Astyanax mexicanus: one gene and its partners. The protein of the gene in region 1 interacts with the protein of each later gene in a biochemical or structural test. Links are inferred from orthologs where the notes say so. Each region holds a gene or a part of one and is shown in the gene's direction. Other genes may lie near its edges. The genes, in order: ikbkb, tnfrsf1a, map3k1 and map3k14a.

Region 1 (7,458 bases):
CATATCCTAAATCATACATATCCTAAATCATACATACCCTAAATCATATATATCCTAAATCATACATACCCTAAATCATACATACCCTAAATCATATATATCCTAAATCATACATATCCTAAATCATACATATCCTAAATCATATATATCCTAAATCATATATATCCTAAATCATACATACCCTAAATCATACATACCCTAAATCATACATATCCTAAATCATACATATCCTAAATCATACATATCCTAAATCATACATACCCTAAATCATATATATCCTAAATCATACATACCCTAAATCATACATACCCTAAATCATATATATCCTAAATCATACATATCCTAAATCATACATATCCTAAATCATATATATCCTAAATCATATATATCCTAAATCATACATACCCTAAATCATACATACCCTAAATCATACACATCCTAAATCATATATATCCTAAATCATATATATCCTAAATCATATATATCCTAAATCGTATTTATATTTTCATATGCAGTAAAATATGCAAAGATCGAACACATATACTGTTTAACAGGTTTGGGCTGCAAAAAACAGACTCACAAATCCAAAGTCACTTCTACAGCCCTGACTGTAAATAAGGATACATATAGAATTGAGAAGTATAGAAATCGTTATGATTTTTGAGATGTTTGAATGAATTCAGCTACTTTATGTTGCATGAATTACTGACACAGATGTGCACAGGTTTTGTCAGTAGAATAGATTTATCTGGAGAAGGTCTCTCTGGAATGGTGGAGCTCCATCCAGCACTTCAGTTTGGTTGGGTCAGTTGGGTATTTGTGGGGGTAAAGTGGGGGTGTTGCACTGTAAAAATGTTCATAAATGTTTACAAAAATGTAAATAGAATAATCATTTTTTTAGGTAAGATTACATTTATTTACAGCGATTATGTCTCAAGTATTTTGAGTTAGGTGAACGTTTGACATCTTTGCGATGGAAATGATCAACTGGACCGAGAATGCTCCATGCTAACAAACAAAACACCTGCAGTGATGCTGAATTTACTCATTTCTCTGACCTTGATGTTTCTCATTAATTACCTGCAGCTTTGTCAGATTGTCAGATTGTCAGATTGTCCGGCCTCAGTGTTGGTGGCTTTAAGAGCAAGTTACCTTTTTCTGTATATTTTGGATTTCCTTAACATTTTAAATAAGCAGTGTGCAGGTCTTTACAGTGTAATAAACAGTATATTATATTAATAAAAGTGATAAAATGTAAATGTGTGTCACTATCAGTTTTCATGAATATGTAATATACCCACAGTAATCACAGTGTATTTAAATGATTGAATATCTGGTGCTGCGTGACTCAGGCGTGTTTATATTCAGGACTACTGCCCTGTATCATCCTGCAGTTCACTCACTAACAGGAAGCTGTGGTGTAAACACACTCCTGTAGTTAGGGGTGTTTTATCCGGACGTCACTTCACCATCAGCGTCACGCTCACCAACAGACAACGACACACTGCCCAACAACACCGTCACCGCGCCGCCTCCCTCCCCGTCACTAACACTAGTGATCAGACCGTCTCTCAGATGTGGAAATGTGGGAAATAACTGTGATAAATGTGGGATGATTTGAGTTAAATATCTAAATGCTTTCGGTTAAGTTAGACTGAGTTGTTTTCTGGTGTTTATTTAGTGGTCACCAAATCAGACCAACATTAATTAAATACCATGAAGATGCAGCTCATCCAGATTCCAGATCACAAATATTTAACAAACTCAATCAGACACATTTATTCAGTTACTGTCTGAAACTAACGGTTCACTTTGAGATGATTTGGAAATGTTTCACGTTGGCAGAACAAGCACCAGGAGTAAAGCAGCATAAAGTTATCCAAAAGCAGTGTGTAAGACTGGTGGAGGAGAACATGATGCCAAGATGCATAAATTCAATCTGTGATTAAAAAACAACCAGGATTATTCCACCAAATATTGATTATTTCTGAACTCTTAAAACTTTATGAATATGAACTTGTTTTCTTTGCATTATTTGAGGTCTGAAAGCTCTGCATCTTTTTTGTTATTTCAGCCATTTCTCATTTTCTGTAAATAAATGCTCTAAATGAGAATATTTTTATTTGGAATTTGGGAGAAATGTTGTCTGTAGTTTATAGAATAAAACAACAATGTTCATTTTACTCAAACATAAACCTATAAATAGTAAAATCAGAGAAACTGATTCAGAAACTGAAGTGAAATCTTAATTTTTGCAGAGCTGTATATTAATATGTTATAATACTGTAATTAACTAAACATACTTTAAATGTTTGTGACGCCATTCCCACTTTCATCATCCAACACCGGAGGTAAATAAATTTACAGTGAAACCGTGCTGTTCTCTTCTCTAAACACTCTTCTGTTTTGCACTGGAATGATGGAAAAACAGATTACACAAGAAATACTGATTTAATCATTGTGGCTTTTCTTTGGTAAATCAGACTCAGTGTAATCTGAGGGTCTTTGCTGAGAATTTATCAGCAGGATTCTACCCTTGTGAAAAAATATTTTTTTAATATAATATTAGTGTACTTGAACTACATGTGGAATAATTATCATATACTTTTCTGCCTATACATATATCTTTACCTGCTTAATTTACCTAGTTTTGTACTGGTGATGTACTTAATAAAATACATGCTTAATATTATTTTATAAAACTGTGCATTTTTATCACAAAACTATACTTTTATTGAATTCAATAAAACTGTACTTTAGTGAAATTTGCTAGCAAAACATTTTTTTTGCATATTTTGTGTTGCTTATAAAAATTAAAACTGTGCTGATGAACATTTCAGGTTTTAAATAAAGTTAACTTTATAGGATATCTTCAAATACACAGCATACACAAATATACTTAAATTGTATTAAATAGTGTCGTTAAATAGTGTATTAAATATTTGACTAGTACACTGATATAATTATATAATTTTAACTACAATTTTAATAAAGTACAAATTAGTGGTTCCAAAAAAACATAACTTAGTACAGTCCTAATTCAGTATAATTTAAGTATACTTTAAGTACAGGAGTAAATCAGATCAGAGAGCAGAGCCTCTGTGTTCACATCCTGCAGAACAATATTAAATAAACACATTTCCTCAATCTGAACCAAAACTGCGGAGGAAGTGAGTGTGAGGAAGGTCCGGGGTAGAGGTGTGTAAATCTGTTCACACAGGGAACTACAGCCGGAAACACCGAGCTCACGCCTGTACCAGGAAATGAACACATAGACTCAACACTGCCTGATGAGGGACAGGGTCAAGATTACGTTTACTGTAATATAAAATTCGAAAAATGTATTTTACTTATTAGAATTGGCTTTAGAATACTAATATATGCTCTTTAAATGTCTTCATAATAGTTTTTTTTTCAATATAGTTGCATTGTATACTTTAAATATCATAGTAACTCTAAATTGTTATTTATGAGTGTTACAAAATGTTGGAAACTTGTATTACCAAAGTTTATAAAACTATTGGTTCCTGCCATCATTTATTTACCTTTTACACACTGTAATTCCCAAACATTATTCAAATATTTTGAGTTAAGCGAACATCTGTGCCCACATACACATTCAATCAGAGATCTAGCAGTTTACAAGGGGCACTGAGTGATGTATGGGTTTAGGGGCGGGGCAGAAGGGAGAGCAGTGTGCCTCTGATAGCAGTGAGATGCAGATGGTTGGATGTCGTCAGCAGGGGGGCGGTATTATTGATTGATTGACTGATTGCTTGATTGATTTGCTTATTGTGAGTATCCATGTACCAAAGTACACAGAAACATCTTCCACAACTATAGCACAGTTAAATCTGTGAAGGCGCTACAGAGGCAGAAATAAAATCCACCATAATAAAAGCCTTTTTTGTAAAGGTTTGAAAATATATAAATATAAAAAAAAAATACCAAGACTGGTATGTTTCTTTACCTCAAAAAGGGACACGTTTCAGCTATTAATGAAAAATAAAATGGTTTACAGGGTTTTAGTGACTCTTTAGGTTTTAAGGATTTTAAGTACACTTTAATAGAAGAGATTGTTTTAATATTAACTTGAATATATCTTGATAATTATTTCTTTATTAATAATTATTTTATAAATATTTATTAGTACATTTATAATATACTTTTTTAGGGTAATTATTCAGTAAAATAAATTAATTTATCAGATTTTACACTATAAATGCAGGATTTGTCTGATAAAACGAGGCGCTTAGTTTTCCCACCCGTTTTCTGACATTGTCCCACCCAATGACTGTATCGGCCACATTCTCAGCCAGGATTGGCTAGACGTAGAGAGCTTCTGTCCCCTGATTGGCTTGTTAGATTTAAGTATCCAATCCTCTCCGAGAGGAGGCGGGGTTTACCTGATTACAGGTGTGTAAAAAAACGCAGCTCAGTGTTTACGGGAAGTGACTTTTCACTTTTCAGTATGAGGAAGTGTGTGCGCGTGAAGTTTTAATGGAAGATTCAGCTTTAAAAACTACATTTTACCGCTTTATTAAAGATTAAAGAACAGATATAAACACTGGGTATAACAGCGCGGTAGTTACATCGTATTTAACAGTGTATTTAAGTGTTTAGAAGCGGTGACTTTGATCCTGTTGTTGTGAAGGAGCGGATTCAGGTGATAAAGGTAATGTGTTGTTTAGTTTTACTGTTTTATTCTTATTTTACTATTAAATAAACAGATAAAGTATAATGCACACTGTCTCTCACATACACACAGCTCATTATTCACTGTTTTAAAACTATAAAACATCATTTTCCTCTTTATTAACTCTAAAACTGGAGTAAACAGAGCAGAGCTGCTGTAGTTCTGAATGTACCGCGTGCTGATAAAAATACTGATACTGATATAGATAGAGCCCACGCGCGAGAGTTTTAACCATAATACTAGAAATATCATTGGTTATTTTTGTTTTAAACATATTTGATTGGTTTCCTTTATCTCTTTTTATCTTATTTTCACTTCATTTCTAAAAATTCCTGTTCTTTTTATAAGTATAAGCTGCAGTCCTATATAAATTTCCTTTGTTTTTAATTTAATTTTATTAATAATAATAATTAATAATTTAATTAGCAACTAAATGCCCCAAACAAATACAAGTACATATGGTTGTAGTTGGTGTGGTGTAGTGGATAACACCACCGCCTGCCAGTGAGCTACGAACAACATGTGGGAGACTGGGGTTCAATTCCAGAGTCCTTGGACTAGACTCCTAACACTACATTGGCCCATTTCTGTAACAGGAATAAACTTATAAGTCACTCTGGATAAGAGCGTAATAATAACCGTAAATGTGATGGTTATTGTAAAGAATAAATAGAGTATTATACCACAGTTAGTTCCGACCCTGCAATGTGATTGGCTGAAAGGTGTTCTATGAGTGCCTTTATCAGCCGGTAATGCACTGTAACTAGACTCTCCATGTATTACTACGCCCACATACAGGTAACCTAGCAACGATGCAGCGCTTACAAACCAGACAGCGCAGCTACAAACAGAGCAGCAATGGAACTATTTTAACCAAACAGATCCTATTTTCTCCTCCTCTTTAACTCTTTAAAATCTTTCAATAAACAGTGATAATTGAACTGTGGTATAATTAAGCAATAATACACTCCTGTTATAGCACTGCCTCTTGAGAATTATTGGGAATCATCTTAAATCTAACCTCAAGTGATGGTTATATATATATATATATATATTCAGGTGGCAGCTGTTTATCAATAGGGCATCCCAAACTGTATGAATTTACTGTAAAATAAAAACAGCAACAGGTTAAAGTGTGTTTAATTCTTGTCTCTTTTTTAATGATTAATTTCTCCTCAGGACTGTGGAGAGAGCTGGACCTGAGGGGTCAGCATGAGCCGAGCTTCTCCCATGCAGCCCCAGAACTGCGGACCCTGGGAACTGAAGGAGAGACTCGGGACCGGAGGATTTGGAAATGTTACTCGGTGGCAGAACAAGGTATAAAACACTGTCTAAAACTTATAATAATAATAATAAACTTTATTTTTTATAGCACCTTTCATACATAAGCTCAAAGTGCTTCACAATAAAATTTTATAAATTAGCAAAATGTAACAGTAATATAAAACAAATAAAACAATTAAAAAGTAACAATTTCATAAAATAGTAGGAAATAAGACATTTATATTAAAATAAAATATAAAATAAGATAAATGTAAACAAAAATGATAAATTAAGAATAAGAACAACAAAAGCATTTACATAAAAAAAATATGCTAGTATAAGCAGTACAGAACTTGTAGAAAGCTGAACAGCTAAAGGAAGGTTTTTAGCTGTGTTTTTTAAAACTAGTAACACTCGATACCTGACGAATATTAATTGGTAAAGAGTTTAATATTTTCCAGATAAAAATCCAGATAAAGAGCTGTATATTTTACACCCTGCGCAGGATGTCTCGAGATGCTCATCGCCATCTTACACCCCGTCAACATTCCTCGTTTAAACAGCAGCAGAGCTATTTAAATTTGCTTGTTTATCTTGGTAACAGAAAACACAGGAGCTCCACTGACTGAATACAACCTAGACAGATGCCAACAGTCAGACGTTCATCGCTATCTTGTAATGCTGGTCATGTTGCTGTGCTGGTCATCCTGTAGTCCTTTATCAGTATTTTCATTAGGTTTTCTATTCTGTGGGTCCTGAGTATTAAAGAACAGAGTGAAAATTTGAAGGAGGAGAATAATAATAAAGTATAATAAAGAATAATGTTATTATTATTGATCTGTGTTTATAATCTGCAGGGCTTCTTTTCTTCATTTCTCTGAAGTGTCGTTTATTTAGTATCTTCGTTTATGGTAAAGGAAGCTGAGTCAGTCTCACCTCACCTCAGAAATACATCAGAAATACACAGATAAAAATAGAGCTGCTATTGTTTACCACACACCATTACCAACAATAACCTGTTAAACCCAACAGGAAATATGATATATATATGAGCATCCTCTTAAGGTGATCTCATACCGGGTCATCACCTGCCTCACCCTGGCAGCCGATTATAACTTTAAATATGGTGGAAAAGGTTGAAAATCCCCCTTCTCCTCCACCAGTCTTACACACTGCTTTTGGATAACTTTATGCTACTTTACTCCTGGTGCAAAAATTCAAGCAGTTCAGTTTGGTGGTTTGATGGTTTGTGATCATCCATCTTCCTCTTGATTATATTCCAGAGGTTTTTAATTTGGTAAAATCAAAGAAACTCATCATTTTTAAGTGGAATCTTGTTTTTTTCCAAAGCTGTATAGTATCTGGCTGCATGCCGATAAATTATAAATGTGTTCTGAGAGTCACTAATGGTTTTTATTTTAGGCGTCTGGGTCAGGACCTCTAAAACAGCTGGAACTGTAATATTAGTGGAGGTTTACGTAACTGTGCTCTTATTATTC
Region 2 (7,478 bases), on another chromosome or scaffold:
AGATTTGTGCGTGTACTGCACCTCACGTACACGTCACGTTCATTTCTGAAGACGCAGAATATGTGAGTCAGTCGTCATGCGTACAGGAAAGCATAGAACTCACATCACATCCAACCTCAAGGCTGATGGTCTGTTACACCAAAATACCAAGTAAGGTTCCATTTCTTTTAGCCCAAAACAGAAAGCTGAGGCTGCAGTGAGCCAAAGACAAGAATAATGCAATATTAGTCTTGATTTCTGCTAAGAAAGGTCAAAAACTGGTGCAGACAGCATAAATATATATAGATCCAACCCGAAAGAAGGGGCCAACAGAGTTATTAGAACTGCAGTACAGCTTGAATCATTAATTATAGCATTAAAGTGCTATAATAAGTAAGAGTTGAGTACAAAAAGCATGTCAAGTAACACAAAAATATTGATCAGATTGATCAATTGATTGTTTGGATGTCATATAAACCTTCATTGTATTCAGTAACTCTCTCTACTCTCCTGGAAAAGCCTTTCTACTATATTTCAGAACATTGCTCACATGATTTAATAACATTCACTGACAAGAGTGTTAGTGGGGTTAGGATGTTGGATAATCACCACCCGACCTTATAAACCTCCATAACTGCCTAGCTCTCCCCAAAGTATTGGATGGAGCATCACCATTATTCAAAGGGGGTAGTCTTATTCTATTGGAAATACTCTTATCTACAGTTTTAGAAATGGGCTTAACTTTATTTAGCTGAATCCATTAATCAGAAAAGGTATCTACTAACATTTGGAAGTTAACCGCAGGTTTCAAAGGAAATGCAACTTCCTGTGATCACTGATTATTTACAACATTGCACAGATCAAAGGACCTCATTCACCAGTATTCACTTCCTAAGAATGTTTTTCAGTTTGTTCTTGAGAAAAAATAGGTTCATAATGTGCATTTAAACCCCAACACTCTTCACAGCAATGCTCTAATAATGAAGGATCACACTGTCTCCATAAACTAAAGAAATTCCAAATAAGAAATAACAAACCAGGAGTGAAAGTCAGAATCTTTGTGAAAACTGTTTTCAGAAGTTTTAAGAAAAGGCTTCTTTCTAAGAATGGCTGCTGAATATGGCCCCTTGTTCTAATAGAGAAAGCACATTACACTGCTTTAGTGTTCTAGTTTAGAATAAAGGGGCTTTTGTAAACAAACGTGACAAAGAGTTTGCAGAAAAAAATCCCCACATGTAGGCCAGACACCTAATGCTTTTTGTAAGTGGCCATGTTGTTTGATTTTTCCTGATAAGAGGCCACAAGCCTGATAAATCTACCAGTACAGTAAAGCTGTACGCTGTGTGACGCCTGCCTACTTAAAAGGGCTTAATAAACTGTACATTATCGAATCTTAAACTCATCAGATGTGAACACTTATGCTATAAAACCACTGATTATTTTTAAATGCTTCATTTGCTTTTCACTTGAGATTTATACCAATACACTTGTTCATTTGCTCCAACATAATGTACAAGTTTTGCTGATTCAATGCTGATCGGGTTGAGCATTTATAATATCTAAGAGCATTATGCCACACCTACCTGATAATATTTTATTACTAAAACATAAACATATCTAAATAAATACAACCCCAAATCTCAAAAATGAATGTAAATGAAAGTAAATAAGAGAATTGCAATGCTCTGCAAATTTCATAGACTCACATTTTATTCACAATAGAACATAGAACATATATAAGATGTTAAACGTAAGGCATTTCAACATTTCATGAAAAACAAAAACTCATTTTGAACATGATGGGAGCAATGCATCTTAAGAAGGACTGTGCAAGGACAGTGCAAGAAAAGGCTGGAAAAGTGAATGATACTAATAAAAAATACCCAAAGTGATACTTCATTCACTGCCCTTTTATCAGACATTCACAGCATCACATTTCTTGTTAAAGGGTCACTAGTGTGTCAGAAGTTAGGAGTGACCCCCATATCCCTTGCCCATTATTCAATTTTCTCTGTTTCATTCTATAGATTAACATTAGTAATGCTCAGTATTGCCCCTAAGAATGTGCTGCTGGCAGAATAATTATTGAAGGTCTAGCTGTTTTAAACTCCAGGGTTAGTATATTTCACTGTATCCTGATTAAAATCTAATACACATTTCGAAAATTAGTCAGTATGATGTAGAAGATATTTCATATCGATAATCTGGATATCTGTCATCTTTCTAAAGAAGTTAAGATCTTAACGTCTTCCAGGAGGCTTATGAGAGCATTCTGCTAGTAGCTCAGAAACCTTTATATGGTGAAAGGATTGACATAGAAATGACAGAAATTGGGGTAAATTGACTCATTACGCTTTAATCAAATTCATGACATCACTGAGCTACCACAGAATGTCATGCTTTAACACTCTGCACTTTCAGATATAGACTGAAGGCTCTGTGTTGTACCTTTTTTTCTTCAGTTTCAGATGCCATAATTCTGCCACTCTTACCCAACCTTTGGTAAACCATTATACATCCTGGCACTCAACAAGAATTAAGGAACCGTTAGCACCATCTGTTTGCAACCCTAAGATAAAGTGATAAAATAGAATATGATTTAAGAAAATCAAAGATAAGGCAAGGTAAATTAAAAATAGATAAGATTAATAAAAACTCTTCAGTATTTATTTATTATCTTGGTAGAACTTGGCGATATGGTAAAAAATATTATAACATAAAATTTAAATACATTTCCATGAGACATAATATTTCCCAATGCATTTTTGTTCAAAATGTACTAACATAAATATTGTGTATCTTTTTTTTTTTTTTACCATATTGCCAACATTTATGTTTTCAAAATGTACTGGAATTCACTGTAATTCACTTTGGACTAAAGCATCTGCCAAATGTAATGTAATGTAAATGTAATGTAATGTAGTGTAATGTAATGTAATTAATTTAGATGAATTAGTCAGAATGGTTCCATCAAATGTATTTTGAATGAGAAGTAAAGTTTAATAAAATACAAGCTATATACAGAACAAAAACATGAAGCACTCATTAAGCACTCAAATTAGTCCTGTTCCTTTAAGAAAGGATTTTTTATCTCACCTCTTTATGTGTATAAAAGGCATTTATCATAGAATTGGTCTCTTCCATTCAGTCCTCTTGACCATCATGGGCAAGACCAAAGAGCTGTCAAACATCAGGGACAAGACTGTAGACCTGCACTATGCTGGAATGGGTTACAAGACCATAAGAACAAAGCTTGGTGAGGAACAGGACACTGTTGGTGTGAGAATTTGGACAGTCAATTACCCTCTCTCTGGAGCTCCATGCAAGGTCTCAAGTCGCGGGGTAATAAGGATGATTCTAAGAAAGAAGTGAGGAGCTTATTGATTGATGAGTTAATGATTTCAAGGTAACTGGGAGCCCAGAAAATAATTAGAAACATACTTTGCCATAATAAATTTAGATTCTGCAGTGCCCACAAAGTCTCTATACTCAAGAAGGCTTATGTACAGGCCCATCTGAAGCTTACCAGTGAACACCTGAATGATTCAGAAAAGACTTGAAAACATGTGTACAGATGAGACTCAAACTGAGCTTTATGGTATCAAATATACAGAGAAATACTGGATATGACCCCAAGAACACCATCCCTACTGTCAAACAGAGAAGTTAAACATTGTGCTTTGGAGCTGTTTCTCTGCCAAGGGTACAGGAAGACTTAACTGCATTAAAGGGCTGATGAACAGGCCATATATATACTGTAGAATCTTTACATTCTCAGTCAGAAACTAAAGCTGGGTCATGCAAGGGGTCTTCCACCATGACAATGACCCACAATATTTGGCCATGGTAAAAATAGAGTGCCTTGACGCATGTGAAAATCTGCCTATAGGTCCCCCACACCTGGCAACACAGACTTTCTTATCCAATCACGTGTGGGAAAGAGAGAGAGAGAAAGGCGCCCACCTTAATTAGTTTTTAGTATGGGCAGGCAGAGTTTTTTTTCCCTCCTTAGAAGGCATGTTGAGGTGAGTTAATGTGACTATATATATATATATATATATATATATATATATATATATATATATATATATATATATATATATATATATATATATATATATACACATACACCTGTGAAAAAAGTTGCTATGTATAGGTAAATGTTTCAGTAAAATGAAAATTGTTGTTTTATTCTATAAACTATGGAAAACATTTCTCCCAAATTCCAAACAAATATATTTCCATTTAGAGCATTTATTTGCAGAAAATGAGAAATGCCTGAAAAAAAAGCTGCAAGGCCTTCAGAATGTTCTCCTCCACCAGTCTTTTTGGATCAATTAGGTAGGTAAAATCAAAGAAACTCATAAAGAAACTTATTGTTACTTAATAAGTTTCTTAACTTATTGTTAAGAAACTTGTAAACTGGTTTGGCTATGTCTCCCTCTGCTGGTCTGAGCTCTTTCCTTTTTTAGGTGGAGTATTTTGTAAAAGAAGTGACGCCGTCCGTTTCCAGTCAGGTCTGTCTCCTTGTGGCGGAGGAGAAATGGACCTCTCCGCTCTGTTTGCTGATTTTTCACTGTGATTTAATTTTTATCGACTGTATTGTGAACTTATGGCCGCGGCGGTTTTGCTCCTGCTGGATAGGAGAGCCCGCAGGTGAAGCGGAGGCTCGGCTCACTCGGTTCAGAAGGTAAGTTTAGTTTAACCAGCAAACGGAAACTAGATTAGAATCGTGAGCTGTGGGCGGAGAGCGACACCGAAAGTAAAAAAAAGAGTGGAAAAAATTATGTGACATTTATTATTATAATCGGTGGTTTGTTTTTAACAGCGGGGCGATAGTGTACACAGTGAGATTAGTGAGTAAATGTCTTAAATTTTGTGACTGTTGGTTAATTTGTGTTTGTTGGCGGTTTAAACTGTAAAACTGATCAGTCAGAAAGAAAGTTGCGCAACTCTTAAGCACTTAAACTGAAAGGGAAGCAGATTTCAAGGAAGTCAGACTTCTTAAGAAGTCAGACTTCTTAATGTCCTTTTATCTGTTTTAAATCATTAATATTCAGTAAAAATCCATTTAAATCACCTACAGATTAAATAGTACTTTTTTAAATTGGAAAAATCTTTTTTTAACAGGCTTGTCACAGTAAATATATTTTTGGATTAAATGATTACTGTAATAAATCTTTTTAGATCAGTTTATTTAACATTTTAATTGCCAACGTCAGGATTGTTCCGGTCATCATAACTATTTTTAGATAAGATATTGTCACAGAAAAAAAATGATAAAATATAGTATTGTTGATAAAAAAAGAATTAAACCATATATTATCGCATAAATAGTGGTACTAAACAATATTATTGTCATTATAAGACTATTTTATTTACTATTTTCTATTGGCAATATTAGGATTGTTCCTGTCACAATAACTACTCTTTTTGGATGATATATTGTCCCAGAAATTATTGTGATAAATAATGTTATTGGACCATTTTATTCTGTCATAAATTATTAAAATAACAGCACAGAAATACGTATCCTTCAAAAGACATTTTAATGCATAATAATAGTTTGTGAGATTTTATTAGCTTCTTTGGTATTTTTTTGGTATTATTATTCCTGATTCATATTTTTTTGGACCATATGTTGTCATAGAAACAGTTGTGATAAACAATAGTATTGTTGTTATTGGACGATTGTATGCCACTCATATACTTTTTAAATATCTCTCCGGAAATCTCTGGAAGAGCAAAATCATTTAAATAATAATAATAATAGTTTGGGAGATGTATGATTTCAATTCTTAATGCCTTTTAATCAAATTTACTGGTTACATCGTTAGTTCGAATAGTTGTGTCACAATATGCACATTTAATTTGGATCATATATTATCCCATAAAGAATTGTGATAAGCAATATTATTGTCACTATAAGACCATTTTATTTGCTATTTTTAATTACCAACGTCAGAAAAAATTGTGATAAACAATAGCATTGTTGTTATTAGACCCTTTTATGCTGCACCATAATGTTACAACTTCTAAAAGACATAATAATAGTCTGGAAGATGTATATGTATGTTAATGGAAATTCATACTGCCTTTTAAATATTTGATGCATATTTTGCTCAGGTAACTCACCTTTACCTGTCAAAGTCTGCACAGTGTATGCAGTAGGGCTGCACGCTTTTGGGAAAAAATACATTTGTGATATTTAATTGTTCTGCAATATATATTGCAAGCTTGCCAGAAGTCAAAACCTTGTAAAATTCCTATGTAAAATGAGAAGAATGTGGATTTTTCTTTAGTTTAAGCAGCAAAAATGAAATAAAGTGAATGAAATTACACAAAATATTGCATGCCCTGCGATGTGGCTGCATTGCGATATTGATGCTGTAATGATATATTGTGCAGGCCTTGTATGGAGACACCGTTACTGATGCATTGGCCACTGCACAACTGGCTTAAATATTGGTGAAATTAATTATTATGTAAATGAATACACAGGTGAACAGAATTGTTCTGCAAAAATGATTGATGTCATGGCCATATTTTGAATGATAAAAAGATAATGTAATTATTGTGTCAGGCCTGTTTAGGATCTGTCTACACCAGTCACCCCTGAGGTGGTATTGATCATTGGTACAGATGTTTGGTGATTAAGTTTGTACACTCAACACAACACTCTAGCATAGCATTGGGCTCTTTATGGCTCATGTGATGTTCCTCCAGATTCCCCTTCCTTTTTTTGCTGCTACTTCTAATACTGTAGAGTACTAACTGTGTTTTTTTAAATAAAATTCAGCTGGTTAACAGCAGCTACATCAGATCTTATTTAAATTTAAATTTAGCAGATATGTAGCAACATATAAGAGGCATTTGTTGTCATAAGCTGACTAAAATAAAAAAAAAAATCTCACTTCTCACCGCCTCCTTGCCCTTGTCTTTGTCTCCAGTGTTGCCTTGTACTCTCTGATGGAGTAAAAGTGCAAGCCCCATGCCACGATGGATGCTGGGCATGACAGAAGCAAATGGAGGAGGAGTTGTGTGGCACACACTTTGATTTTGTTGGTAAGAAGCCACCTAACCTAATATATACACTAGTGAAACAATATATTAACAATACATATACTATAATTACACTTCTAATGTTCATGTTTTCAGATCTTGTAATGTTTAATGTTCTTAATTTAATGTTAATTTCCTCCACACAGTTTGTTTTAAGTCTAACAGCAGTGGAAGCACTGTATGAAAACCCTTCTGGACACAACAGCAGCCAATCAGAAAAATGCGCAGATAACGAGTACGAGAGTGGGACTGGGTTCTGCTGTGACCGGTGTCCACCAGGTACAGTAACAGAGTCTGAGAATGCCGTAAAGGAAGTGGGCATGGGGTATGAGATAATCATCATGCCTAGGGCAAAGTCAGTTCCAGAGAAGAATTGAGGAAACTTTGAACAGACGTGGAGCGTTAAATGACAGTGTATGGTTACTATGTAGTCTGAT
Region 3 (7,735 bases), on another chromosome or scaffold:
CAGAGCTGCAGCCCAGCCACGGGCTACAGGGCTCAGCTGAGCCAGTCTGGAGCGTTTTTAAAAATTTGTAAGTTCTTCTGTGTATGAAATAAAATAACCCCACTAACCGGATAATACAGCTCTCTACAGTTCATCTTTCAGCCCAAGCAGCTAACAGCAGCAGTTTAGAGCAGCGTCACGGAGGCACTGCTCGGATTACATTATAAACAGGTCAGTTAGCGCGCTGCTAACCTCAGGATGTTTATAACTACGGAGTTTAGTGGACACACCACGGCTGCAAGGTTAGACTGTTGAAGGCTACTGAAGACTACTAAAGCAGGCAACGCAGCGTAAGCAAAAAAAAAAAAAAAAAAACACGCACACACACCAAAATACAAGTTAAGATAAAATATGAAAACGAACATAATAAAGCATAAATAATTACATTGAATTGCGGGCCAGATGTATGTTTATTTTGTTAACCCGTGAGGGGCCGTATGAAACCGCGTCGCGGGCCGCATGTGGCCCGCGGGCCGCTACTTTGAGACCCCTGATCTAGACTGTATCGAGATAGATTTTTGATAGTCTGGACAGCAAAAAAAAAAAAACATATTGAATCTTAATTTAAGCAAATCTTAAATCTAAAGGAGGTCTGAAATGTGATTACAATCAGATCTGTACAGATGCGTCTCAGTCTGAATGCTCTGGTTTCTCAAAAAGTACTTGTGAAAACAGTTCAAAAGAAAAATAAGACACTGTTGTATAATTATAGAAAATAGAATCACTGATCCGTGCTGAATATTCGTTTTGAACCCACTCCAGCATTTAATGTAAACTTGCCTACTTCAATTGACGTGATTCCACAAAAGCTCTGAACTCAGCTGAAGTTAAAAGTGGACGGCGCTGAGCTGAAGAGCTGAGGCGAGCTGAGATGACAGAAGAGAGAGCACAAATAGTTTGTGGAGCGTTCCACGTGAGCAGGAAATGCAGGAGCTGCAGAGGAAGCCCTACTGGCTAAGAATAGCTCTCAGTGATAGATTGGATCCACGTTGACAGGAAATGGTTTTTGCTGGCCGCCCAGTACCTAAAGCTCCAATGCAGCTCTTTTTAACTTTACCAGCTCTGGAAAACAAAGTGGAGATGCCTCGCTGGACATTTAAGGATAAAAGTACGCCTGAGAAAAACTGAGACTGAGACTGAAGTGACTGCAGGTGCCAAAATTTTATATTGTCAAAACAATATCTCCAATGTTTGCCAATTTTTCACTTTTTGTCATAACCTGCCAACCTGACATTATTCTTAATGCTGGGTGAAAAAATTATACTGAATGGGTCAAAAGAAATGCTCCAAACAGAGTTGGGCTCAGATTCTTTTACGCTGACTATTCTTGAAAGTTCATATTTTGGAGATACAAGATTATTACATAATGTAAAAAGGGTTTTTAGGAAAAGTAAGTTTGTTATAAAATTTTAATAGATAGTAATATTTCACATAGCACATTTTGGGACAGTTTTCCCAAAAAAAAAGTATTATTCTAAAACCTAGTCTTAGACTACACAGCCATTTCCAGTGGAGATTTACCAGTGAAAGAAAAAGAAAGTCTATGACTAGGTTTTAATCTCTGTGGAAAATAAAAACAATGTAAAAAGCACATTGCAGACAGCTGCTATTATATCCCTGATCATTTCAAATTATAACTTTCTGTTATCTAACTTTTAGAAGCTATGTGGATGGTGTGGTGCAGTGGATAACACCACCCCCTGTCAGTGAGCTACTACATTATGTGGGAGACTGGGGTTCAATTCATATACTGCTCTACACTAATAAGAGTCTTGGGGCAGACTACTAATGCTACATTGACCCACTTCTGTAATAGAAATAACCTTGTAAGTCACACTGGATGACAGCGTCAGCAAAATGCCGTAAATGTAGAAGCATTAAACTCTGCAGACATCTGTGGACAACTTTCTCTATAAAGAGACATTTTACCCCAAACCTCTTAGAATAACTTTGTCTTCATTTGTCATTTAATTCCAAAGAGATTTTAGAAACTGGTATAGTTCCCCTATCAAACTGGCTAAAATCAGATTACTACTAAAATAATATCTTGGCTCATTTTGTTCATATACTGTGCTGGTCCCCTAAGAGAAAACAGAGCTTAATGAATTATCTTTTTATAATAAAACTGTGATACGTAATCCCTCATTTGTCCACTAATAAAATAGGTTAATTCCTTTCAGATGCTAAAATCTGGTTTGTTTCTGGGGCACTAAAGGCCCTTACATAACCTGGAAGACGGAAACAACACAAAAGACAGATTTATTCAGAAGAACATGTAATTTGTAGGTTCACAAAGCCATCACTCTTCCCAGGCCACCGACTGGCCCAGAAAACCGGCACACAATGAACCACACACAGACACACAGCCAATAATTTCTCAGCTGTTATGAGGTAAAAGGAAATAATTAACTATGATGTTATTTTGATATGAAGGCATTAGCTTCACTTTTCAAACAGCCATGATGTGATGTTATGAATTTACCCATATTAGCTTTACCGTCCAATGTCAAGCAGCCACATTCACACCAGTGAGAGCTAGCTTAAAGGGTTTTAAAAGTAGGATTTTTTATAGATACAGATAAATCCATAATAAAAGTCACACAAACCTATTTCAAATTACATGCAAAGATTATATAGCATATTTTGTTAATAGATTTTACTTCTAAATCTTCTTTAATAACCCAAACCAGATAGCAACATTTTATTGAATGACATTTTTTCATTTCTAACATGAAAACAATGTTGATCTCCGACATCAGAATTTAATTATTATAATACATTAATTTGATGTTGACTTCAATTTGATTAAATTTAATATTATTTGTGTTAAACTTTACTTACATTAAATTAAAAGGAAATTGTTTTTGCTGGCCGCCCAGTAACACAAGCTCCAATGCAGCTCTTTTTAACTTTTTTCTTAAGTGAAGATGCCTTGCTGGAGGCATTTGTGAATAAAAGTTTGGCAGAGAGAAACTTATAGTGTAACACAAACCTGAGATTCAATTCACTGCAGGTGCCATGATTTGATATACAATTTTTATCAATTTTTGCCAATCTGACGTTATTCTTAGTGCTGTGTAAAAACTTCTTAAAAAATAAGTATTGTTTAATTTAGTATTGTTTGTATGAAACTTAACTCACATTAAATATATACTGCATATCTTCTTTGTATTATATTCTTATGGCCTTAACTGTGTTCTTGTAATGGAGATTTAAGTGTAGAAAAGGCCCAAACAATGAAAACCTTTTAGATGAACATTAATTACTCAACAATATAAATAAACTGTAAGTGAAATATTTGAGTGAAATAAAGGAGCTGGTGAATTTAAAGGCAGTGCTGCTAACTATTCAGTAGTGTTAAGTCAATGACAGTCCCCGTGTTGAATGAACGCTCCGCGTGAGAATGTGATAGTTCTCACGCTGATCCGACTCTGAACGAATCTTTTTAAACGATTCTTTTACCTAAATCAGTCGAACTAACTCCCAAATCAAGCAAACTTTAACCATAACATACACACAAGTCCTGTTCTATACGAAAAGCTTAAAATAATTCTTCAACAAAAAGCATTAATCACTTCAAAAACTTACAAAAATATCTAAATAATGATATACAACCCCATACACCAAAAAGACATTTTTAAATTATATCATATGACAAAATATTCATATATTAAACTTTTATCAGCAGCTTTTGCATAATTATTTTTATTTTTTATTTTTGGGGTATAACATCCACATTGTCTTATATGTTACACTACACTAGTTTTATTGCATTTTAAATGAAGATCACATGGTATCTACAGTATATAGTGTAGTTAGACAATAATACTAAAATTGGAAAACATGTTTGTTTAAAAGTTAATAAATAAAACAGAAGTCAATAGTGGTGGTACATTTAATGTTTTTTTTTATAGAATGATAGTTTTTATGTATTGCTTTGTAAATTGTAATTGAGTCAAAAAATAATAATAATCAAAAAACATAATCAAAAAGTAGTCATCAAAAATTGACTTTAATAATAATAATTATTATTATTATTATTATTATTATTATTATTGTTGTTATTATTAATATGGTTTGTTTGTTTGTTTAAAGTAGAAATCCGGTGTGAAATGGACTTGGGGTGTAGTGAAATGTGATAACGAATACTATTTTTAAATTTTTTTTTGGCCCGCCACCACCCCTCTCACTTTATTTCACTCTGCAACAATGCATTATTCTTAAGGGAGGACATATATTAATATAGAGAGAGAAGGAAAAAGGGAGAAAAAAAATCAATAGCCCTCCTTCGTCACCCACAGCATTTCCAACAGCCTTACAATGATAGTGATAGGGACACGGTTTCCGTGGAAAAGTACAAAATAATAAAAGTATATATATAAATAAAATTTAAAAAGCTAGTTGCAGCCTTGCAAATAGTAACAAGTCTTTTCAGAGTCTTTTCAAAGCCATATAGTGTATGGTCAGCATTAGAAGTTTACTTTGTAAACTGGGCAATTGTTGGGAATCGGTTCGTTAAATATAAGTGAACCTGCTCCTGTCAGTTTAGTTGCAGGTGAGTTGGAGTGATTCGATTCACTCTGAGGAGTCGGTTCGCTCGGATGAATCGAACTCTCCATCACTATGTAAACAGAGCGGAGTGCCTGCCCTCGCTCCGCCCCGCTTCCCGCGTGCCCCCCCTCCCCTCTCTCCACTCACTCACCACACAAACCTATTAAGTGGCAAAATTCAGCACAGAAAATGGCGACGGCGGGGAGCCGGACCTCGTCGTCAGGACCGTTGGACTCGAGCGGCGGTTTAGACGCGGGGAACTCTCCGCGTGGAAGCTCCAGCGTGCCCGGTCTCCCGAGCGGTGCCGCCGGCAAGGCGAAGCGAAGCGCGGCGGAGAGTTCGCAATGGAGACGTAAAGAACTGCGGAAAGTGCGGAGCGTGGATCTGGACGGGTCCGAGTCGCTGCTGCTGGCTTCCGAGAGCGGGGCAGCTCCCTCAGCCGCGGCGGCGCAGCTCCACTTCTTATCCGCGTCCTCTCCCGGCGCAGTGCAGGCGACTCTCCTGCAGCAGAGCCACCGCGTCCAGCACAGCAGCAGCAGCTCCCTGACTGAACACCCGCTCCTCGATAAGCAGAGCAGCGGCGGCAGTCTGGCCGCAGCCGCGCAGGAATTGCTTAAAACTTCTTTCAGAAGCAGCAGCGACCAACTCTGCGCTGATAATGCTGCAGCCGGAGCTCCAGGAGAACTGAACCAGCAGAGGTAAGAAAGATTCAAGGCTGATAATGAGCATTTTTGGGGCTGATAAGGAGATTTTTTACTCCAGTACTGTCTCTCTGCCGCTGCGATTCACCTGGATAATGTGTCTGTAAAACTTGTATAAACTGTAAAGTAGCTCTAAGAAGTTCTCAGAAACTCCAGCTCGTTGTTCTACTGAAGTCAGACTCTGAGTTCGAAACTGGGGCTGAACAATCTGTATGATATGTGATCGATATTAGTCCTGTCACGATAAGATTATTATGTGGACGATATATCGTCCCAGAAACTTTTGCCTTATTTTATATATTTGCCATTTAAGAACATTTAATACTGCAGACATAACCATAAATCAAAATTTAAAGCAATTACACACTTTTTCTAAGTTGGCAGAAATTAAATTAATTATAGTTTATTAAAAATGCAGCTCTGGAAAAAATGGAAAAGAGACCACTTTAGTTTGGCTTGTGATCATCCATCTTCTTCTTAATTCCTTTTCAATTTGGTAAAATCAAAGAAACTTATGATTTAAGTTGTCTCTTATTTTTCTCCAGACCTGTATATACTTTTTTTCTTCACCTTCTGCAGCCTGCCCACACTGTGTGTATGGAGTTGTAGTTATGGAAGCATTGGTCTTGTATATCATGCCTGTCTAAAATACTGTTCATTTTATATATGTGAACAAACATACAAATAAACAGCTAAATAAACATATGTTAATTTCCATTTGTTGTACAATAAGTCGATAATGTACTTATCGTGGCAGGCCTAGACGATATTGATCTTTCATCACTGTGTACTTTTCTGAGCATCCTGTAGATATAGCTGTGATATAAGTGTTGGTACAGAGTTTTAATTACAAATCCTCTCTTATTGCACCGTGATTTGGGGTGTGTGATGTATCACCCTAAACTAATATCACAATATTTCTGTTTTTGTGATAACAATATTTTTTGATACTACAAAATACTACTCCAACAAAATAAATGTATATAAATAAATGCATAAATAAATTTTAACATAAAAATAATGTAATGTAGCCAAAAAACTGTACCAAAATACTAAGTGCAGTTATACAAAAAGTACCCTTTAAGCTTAACAGTCAATAAAAGACTGCTTGAATTACAATATTGACAAACTATCATCAGTGTTTGTCAGATCAGTACTGTTTAATTGGTTTGGGTACAGCACGTTTTGATTTAGGATAACAATTTTCAAAAGCAGTTGCTGAGAATCTGCCTCATGTATTTTTGTCTGTGTCAAAATATCACAGCAAATATTGTGATTATAATATTCATATTTATCTAGCTGCATCTCATTTGTTTTTATGTTCGGTTTGATGCTCATCCAAAGTGTCCTATTAATTATTAATCCATAGCATAATTTATTGCAGAACTAATGCTGTTTTCCCATCATATGAAATTAGACCTATTTATTAGAATACTACTCATATGCATATTATGGAGCATTATTGATCTGCATTTCTTTTACATATTGTATTTGCTGCATGGGTTGTATTGACGTGGTTGGGTGTTATACTTTTCTCTTTTTCAGTTTTTATTTTGTACCATAAAACTGGGTTGTTTTTTGCTGAGCATCCTGCTCCAATCAGAATCACTAAATCCGTGTCGCCCACCTGCTGAGGTGGGCCCCCAGATGTTATCAGCTTAGTAGAGTTGCGCAGTTTTTGATGTGAGGGGTGAACAGCTTTAAATCTTTCTGATCTGTCTCCCAATATTAAACCACAAAGATGAGGATAATATCATCCAAACATGCATTTATGTGTTTAAGCATTAAAAGCCTTTAATTTATCAGACTGGACGGCTTTGATTTACATTAGCAGCGATTTCGGTGTTTCGTGGTTCAGCTTTGGTAGGCACTCCAATGTTGCATTTAATTCAGGAATCGTTTTACTGCTGTAAGTATAGGCCTGTGTATTACTCTGTCGTGGCTGGAGGTCTGCTTTTTACGTCCATTAAGTTACATTGAATATGATAAATATATATTGCCCTATTAGAATTGCCCAGGTGATCCAGCAGGAGTGCTTAAGACAATATTAACTCTGGCACAGCCTACACAATGGCTCTTAAACTAAACCCAACACTTCTCCAGACCATGTGTATATGTACTCTGTCACTTTTCCCATAAACAAACTTGCCTTAATATGACCTTGGGTTGTTTCCTAGACAGGAATTGAACCTAGTCCTGGACCACATATCTATTTTAATAAAGAATATTCTCATTCACAATGCCAAGCCATAAAAAAAGCCACAAAAATGAGATTTGTGGTTTGATCAGTGTTTTTTTTCCCCCCATCTTTAATTGTTATCCACTTCAGCACAACACAAAGTGATGCAGGCACCTTATTTTCACTGTTGGGAGCTTGTTTACTCAAGGTTGCCTAAATGATTGCCCCCCTGCTGGCTTTTTCCCTTAAAAGGAAAAGCTGATGG
Region 4 (6,950 bases), on another chromosome or scaffold:
CCTGACCCGCCCACACACGCGAAAACAGACCAATGACAGCGCGCGAAGCCTTGACTGACGCCTCGCCCGTCCAATCGCACAATGGACTGATACCTCAGATGACTTTCTGCAAGTCCTCCCGCTACGCCAAAGCACAACGGGCTTGTTATCGAGCATAAATAGATTGCTTGTGTTTTGTGTTTTGACAAATATGTCGTTTTCTTAGCACTTGCAAATGATATTAATGCATTATTAGCTCAATGAGAGACTCCGCGTCCTTTTTAATAAGATTAATTTGTGCAAAATATACTTATATAGATAGTTTATATATTTATTATCTTATATAGATAGTTTATATATTAAAATAAAGACTGTATGTCTTCAACAACTCCATATAGAACTGCTCTATTTAACACCCTTTTAGCTAGTGCTTTAAAGTTTTAAAATCTTTTAGTTTAACGCTTCATGAGCTTTATCCTGTATTGTTATCAATACTGTAAAATGTGCCCAATGAAAATTTAAGAATAAGAAGTCGCCCTCTAGTGATTGTAGGCCTCAACACAACCAATAGTCACGTAACCCTTTTAGACCTGAATTATCTCCAGTGATGGAAACAAATGTAGCTATGAATGCTATTTTCTGTCTGTAATGCACAGAAAAAAAGACTCTAACATTAAACTATAAAATCTATATAGCAAATAAATCAAATTAAGTAAAATATTGAATAATGATTTTTAATGTGTGTGATATGTTATGTCATATTGACCTTCTTATTTTATAAACCATCCCTAAACAGTAAAAAATGATTTAAAAGTGCTCTAAATCACATTAAATTAGTACAAATGTATTTAGTTACTTTGCCGCAATTGCTCTAATACTGTTTTTCAGTGTTTTCCAAGTTTTATAAACTTGTTCCTTGGCTGAATAATGGTCTATTTTGATAGACAACAGCTCTCAAATAGTGTTATGTACAACAAAACATTAAAAAAGTAAAGAAAATACATGATGTCCATTGTAATGGATGTAGCATCTGAAAGGGTTAAACCATTTCTCAATCCTGGACCTTATTAGAGTTCCTTATCCTCTCCACTGGTGAATTCTGGGGTGGGGTTTTAAAGTGTGTCAGCGCAATAACGCCACAATTATATATTTGAAGATTGTAAATACTGAATCAAGAATGAATACTATTTTATCATACATTTGATTCAACCATTTATTTACTAGCCCTTTAAGAGATGCAGGGGGTGTGGTAATGCTGGCATTTCAACATTGAATCAGCATTGAATTAACCTTGATATTATGGTTGAATCAACATTCCCAGCTGGCACACAACTGAACTTCAACGTTGAAATATGGTTGAAGTAGTCTGTAGTTGTTTCAACATTGAAACACCACTGCAACAACATATCATTTTAAATGGTTGTTCAAAAGTTTGTTCATGGTTGTTCAAAATGTCCTCAGCCTTCTGCCTTTTAAATTAGCATTTTACATTTCATCACCATACAATTATAAAAACAGATGGATGGAGGGATAAAACATGGTTTTACTTTCATTTGCATACCTGGGAGTATGTTCATGTTCTATTTGTTTCACGGTTGAGATTGGTAGTGGTGGGTAACATTCTTTATTTTCAACTTTACTACAGTGATGTTTATTGTTAACACTGTTAACCATAGGAAACTCTAGTTTTAGCTACTTGCAGTACTTGCTTTTTGTTTTCTAGTTGTACCGTTCCTACTTCTCAGAGATGTATATTCTGAGAGAGAAAATAAAAATAATATGCTAATTTTTTTCATCATGGCATACAATGGCATACAATCCCGAATGTGAGCTATGGTTTATTAAAGGTTGAACATACGACGTTAAAACAATGTTGCCATATCAATGTTGATTCCCTTTTCAAAATCAACACCAAATCCAACATTGATTCAACCATAATATCAACATTGATTGATGACCGTTGATTCATCGTTGAAATGCCAGCTGGGTTGAATCAACTTTGGATTTGGTGTTAATTCTGAAAAAAAAAAAGTAATACCCATGATTTCTGAAGAAATGAATACGCAGTGGAAGAAATATTTTGTCCATAAAGTATATATAGGGTCAATCTATATATAAAAAATGTATATTCATAATTCTAATCCCAGACAGTTTTGCTTCATTTTAAAATGTTGCTCTAATAATGTATTTGAAAGGTTTTGTTTTGGGTGGCATGTACTTCTGTAACATTGGCATTTTATCTCTGTTCAGTGGTTTTGATGTTTGCACAGCAGGTGGAGCTACAGATAAATCTATACCTAAACATCCCAGTAAACATCAACTCCTGATTTCCATAAAAAAAAACATTGAGATTGCATATAAAGATGTGTATTAATGTATCTAAAGCAAATCAAGTCATACAGCTTATTACAGACAATACTAAAATGATAGTATTCACACCCAGATGTTCCTATTTCTGATTCAGTGAATATTAGACTTCTGTACTTTTCCTTTCATTTTTAGCTTTCCATTCTTCAAATCCATTCATTATGTAATGTTTCCTAAATTAGAAATGGAAAGAGGTAGAACATTTGTGTACATATAGTTTTTGTTTAGGGGTAGGCGATATGATATTGTATATAAATATATTATATAATTACTTTATATATAATTACTTCATCTGTCAGTTTGGGTGGATGACCATTTCTTGGTACACTGTAAGCCCAGATAAGTTGAATTTATTATAAAAAAAATGGAGGAAACCGGTTGCCTTAAAAAAGTTAAGTAATGGGTTGTCTCTCACATATGTCTCTTAAAGGTTTTTCTTGTTGTTGGTGAGGAAGGCGACATTTATACACGTATCAATGTGCACATGTGAGGCGTTTCAGGGACAGATTCGTTTACATTACACACAGATACAGGTCACTTATATTTGTGAATGTGGAATGAGGCTTGTAAGCCTAACAAACCTCTGAGGTCAGAACAGAACACGTTCTAAATTACAAGGCTAAATTACACACAACTGGACTCTATTTGACAAATTGACTTCTGAGGGCAATTAATTGCAGTAGATTTTATTTCCACGTGACACTTTTTTAGATTTGTATATGAATAAAATTTGGAAAGCATAATTTTAATTCTAACAATTAAAATTAATAAAATAGATTTAAGTGTGTGGTTGTAAGGTAAAAAATGAGAAAAACTTAAAAGAAGAATGAATACATTTGAAATCCACTGTATATGGAAAAAATAAGAGACAGATCAGTTTATCTGATTTTGCTATTTATAAGTACATGTTTGAGTAAAATGAATATTGTTGTCTTATTCTATAAACTACGGACAACATTTCCCCCAAATAAAAAAATTGTCATTTTGAGCATTTATTTGCAGAAAATGAGAAATGACGGAAATAACAAAACAAGATGCAAAATTTTCAGACCTCAAATAATGTAAATAAATCTCATAAAGAGTTCAGAAATCAATATATTGTGGAAGAACCCTGTTTTTTAATCACAGTTTTCACACATCTTGGCATGTTCTCCTCCACCAGTCTTACACACTGCTTTTGAATAACTTCATTCCACACATAATGCAAAAGCAGTTCAGCTTGGTTTGAGGGCTTGTGATCACCCATCTTGCTCTTATTTATATTCCAGAGGTTTTCAATTTGGTAAAAATCAAAGAAACTCGTCATTTTTAAGTGTTCTCTATTTTTTCCCAGAGCTGTATATACAGTGTAACACCATAATGCACAGGATGTAAACACTTAAAGTCTATGATGAGCTAAATGTGCCAGAAGGAACTGAACAGTTGTTATACATTTTTTGCTGCATTTCTTTGATACAGAAGAGGCATTTAGCATTTTGTAAAGACCAATACAGTGTCACAATTATTAACTTCTCTGCTCTATATTGATAAAGTGTCTATATACTGGTTTTGATATCAGTCAGAGAGCCCAGAGCTGAAGCTCTGCTGAGTATCTGGAGGAGGAGGAACCTCGAGCAGAGGCAGCAGCAGCTCTCAGACCGCAAGCACAACGACACACATACGAGACATTCGCCTGCGTTTTCTTCACTTCTCACACATTAACCGGTGAGTTTACTTCACTTTCACTACTCATTGTGTGTACAGTGTCTGTTCGCTGAGCTGGAGGTGACGGAGGAATCCACTTTATTCGAGTTTATTTCAGAGAGAAAAGCTGTTTTGTTTAATAAGTGAAATGGCGGATTAAAGAAGGAGGAAGTGGAAGCAGCTGTATCGCTAGCTCAGCCCTCCTCGACTGAACTCGGCTGTAAACCTCTGTTTCAGCGCTGAAGTTAGTTTTATGGACGGTTGGCTGTTTAACCGAGTCTTAAACTTATATTTTTTGACCATTTTTGCTTCCTAGCTTTATTAGGTTAGCGAGTTTTTGTAGGAAATGCTTTACTTTATTAGGAAGCCAAGTTGTGCAAAAACAGTTAACGTTAACTGCTAATTAAGGTAGTTAGCTTAGCATACATTTACCTCAGAAATATTAGCTAGCTAACTAGGTAACCGACTGTGTTTAGGTGTTTAAATGTTCTGTTTTATTAAATAGCATTTAAAGAATATGTTCTGTAGTTTATGGGTTAAACATGTTTAGATAGGTTAGCTGTCCTGGTTCAAATTATGGGTGTAACGTTTGGCCTTCATTTGAAAGACATCATTTCCTGAACTGTTAACTCTAACGCTAATTCACTGCAGGCTCCTTAAGACCTGCCTGCTAATGATGTTCATGAAAGGTGAGCAGCATCACACCTGCTCTCTTACCTGGATTACAACACAATTACACCTCCCCTACCAACTCTGAACAACTCAACAACTCTTTAACTTTAGTTTGAAACAGATTAACAATGTTGGGTCCCAACATTTATTATGCAGGTGCATCTAAAAAAATTGAGTATCATTGAAAAGTTAGAACCTGAAACTTATATGTTACATAGATGTATTACACACAGAGTGATCTATTTTAAGTGTTTATTTCTTTTATTGCTGATGATTATGGCTTATATGGCTTACAGCTAAGGAAAACCCAAAAATCAGTATCTCAGAAAATTTGAATATTACATAAGACCAGTTGTTACTTTTGGCAGTGTGGTCAGTGTGCCAGGTCCTTCTGGAAAATAAAATCCACATCTCCATATAAGTTGTCAGCAGACGGATGCATGAAGAACTGTAAGTTTTTCCGGGAAAACACTGCACTGACTTATATAACACAGTGGGCCAACAACAGGAGATGGCATGGCTCTCCAAACCATCACTAACCATCAGTAAATTTAATTTAATTTGAAAATCAAGGGACCAGAGTCTGGAGGAAGAGTGGAGAGACACACAGTCCAAACTGCTTGAAGTTTAAGAAGTCATGTCATCTTCTGGTGTTGGTCCACTGTGTTATATCAAGTCCAAAGCCAGTGCAGTGTTTTCCCGGGAAAATTTTTACAACACTTCATGCTTCCCTCTGCTGACAACTTTTATAGAGATGCGGATTTCATTTTCCAGCAGGACTTGGCACACTGCCCAAACTGCCAAAAGTCCCTGTTGGTCTTATATAATGTATTAATTTACGGAGACACTGATTTTTGGGTTTTCATTGGCTGTAAGCCATAATCATCAACAATAAAAGAAATAAATGCTTATTTTTTTAACTGAATTACTGAAATAAAGTATTTTTTCAATACTATTCTAATTCTTTGGAGATTCACTTGTACACTATATCTTTTCAGCATCTTCTTTTCAATATGGGTGCAGAAGTAGCTTAACAAAAATGACCAAAAATTGTATTTTAAAAATAAAACCATATTAAAGTACACCAGATATATGCAGCAGCTTCTAAACTAATGTAAATATGATTAATATAGGCAACACATTTAGCGTATTAGTTTTTGAATGTTTTTTTGTTCGTGATTATCATCAGAGATGCTAGGAATATTTATTTTATTATCAGAATAAATTTAATTGTATTTATACTGCACTAATGACTCAATAATAGAGCACTAATAACATGGGATATGATGCTGTTTTATGAACGCAAAACCTGAAAGGTAGCTGGCATAATGACTGGCATGGACATAGTCCACATTGTAAACTGAATATAGCTTTGTATCCATGTTGTATTTTTAGCTTCTCTGTGTAAGCAGGTGTCCTTGGTGTGAGTGTGTGTATGTTGTGTTTAGTAGATGTTGCCTGAGCAGCCAGAAAATTCCCACACTAAAATGTTCAACACTGAATATCTGAAATATAAACAAATAAATCAATACTGAATAAAGAAATACTGTTATTTCACATCTAAATTTAAAAGAAATTTGAAATTCAAATACATTTGCGTCTTGGTTTACTTGGTACAACATGTTTGCATACATAGTATTAGCTTTTGTTATACTGCAGCTTTGACATTCATTTCTAGAAAAATACTGTGCAAACTAGAGTAAGAAAGTACTCACATTGTACACAGTTATACCATTTCTTTAGAAATTATAAAAATGTGGAAGGTTTTGACACTGAGAAAAAGATCCATTGTCTGTATTTGAACATTCTGTGTTCTCAAACATCTAGCTAATGGAAGCTTCATTAAGCGTAAATCATACACCTGAAACTTGCTTTATTATCAAGCCCCCAAAACATTTTTATGTAACACTTTCAGTTTTGTTAAGGCCTTTTTGCATACTTTTAATATTGAGTTTCATCTTAGTTTTTATATTAGATTAGAATAGATTTGATTAGATTTCGGATTATAAGTAGGCATGAAATTATTGGTACTTGTTGAATAATTAGTAGTTACTAAATAAAAACTATGCGCTACACAATTAGCTAATATACTCATTTGTACTACTTACATATTAGGTACTGAATAATTAGTATGTCATAATATTGAATAAATACTACTTATTGAACAATTAGCTAATAAAATATTATACTATTTTTTTCCACTGACAAAAAGCAGGTACTGAATAATTAGTAAGTATTTTGTAATTAGT

What was found.
Region 2: of the proteins of ikbkb (region 1) and tnfrsf1a, one has a biochemical effect on the other in vitro, tested with the Homo sapiens proteins (2 studies listed by BioGRID, with this or other methods). The link is inferred for Astyanax mexicanus from reciprocal best matches to the Homo sapiens genes IKBKB and TNFRSF1A.
Region 3: of the proteins of ikbkb (region 1) and map3k1, one has a biochemical effect on the other in vitro, tested with the Homo sapiens proteins (3 studies listed by BioGRID and IntAct). The link is inferred for Astyanax mexicanus from reciprocal best matches to the Homo sapiens genes IKBKB and MAP3K1.
Region 4: of the proteins of ikbkb (region 1) and map3k14a, one has a biochemical effect on the other in vitro, tested with the Homo sapiens proteins (3 studies listed by BioGRID and IntAct, with this or other methods). The link is inferred for Astyanax mexicanus from reciprocal best matches to the Homo sapiens genes IKBKB and MAP3K14.

What each region holds. Positions count from the first base shown.
Region 1 is NC_064419.1:217,767-225,224, forward strand, and holds the start of ikbkb (inhibitor of nuclear factor kappa-B kinase subunit beta), read left to right. Parts: upstream 1-4,455; 5' UTR 4,456-4,675; intron 4,676-5,875; 5' UTR 5,876-5,908; coding exon 5,909-6,013; intron 6,014-7,458.
Region 2 is NC_064413.1:39,278,158-39,285,635, forward strand, and holds the start of tnfrsf1a (tumor necrosis factor receptor superfamily member 1A), read left to right. Parts: upstream 1-4,456; 5' UTR 4,457-4,669; intron 4,670-6,929; 5' UTR 6,930-6,978; coding exon 6,979-7,044; intron 7,045-7,187; coding exon 7,188-7,320; intron 7,321-7,478.
Region 3 is NC_064427.1:27,156,026-27,163,760, reverse strand, and holds the start of map3k1 (mitogen-activated protein kinase kinase kinase 1), read left to right. Parts: upstream 1-4,735; 5' UTR 4,736-4,779; coding exon 4,780-5,288; intron 5,289-7,735. UniProt on the Homo sapiens protein: Component of a protein kinase signal transduction cascade. Activates the ERK and JNK kinase pathways by phosphorylation of MAP2K1 and MAP2K4. May phosphorylate the MAPK8/JNK1 kinase.
Region 4 is NC_064426.1:23,745,656-23,752,605, forward strand, and holds the start of map3k14a (mitogen-activated protein kinase kinase kinase 14), read left to right. Parts: upstream 1-3,924; 5' UTR 3,925-4,050; intron 4,051-6,950.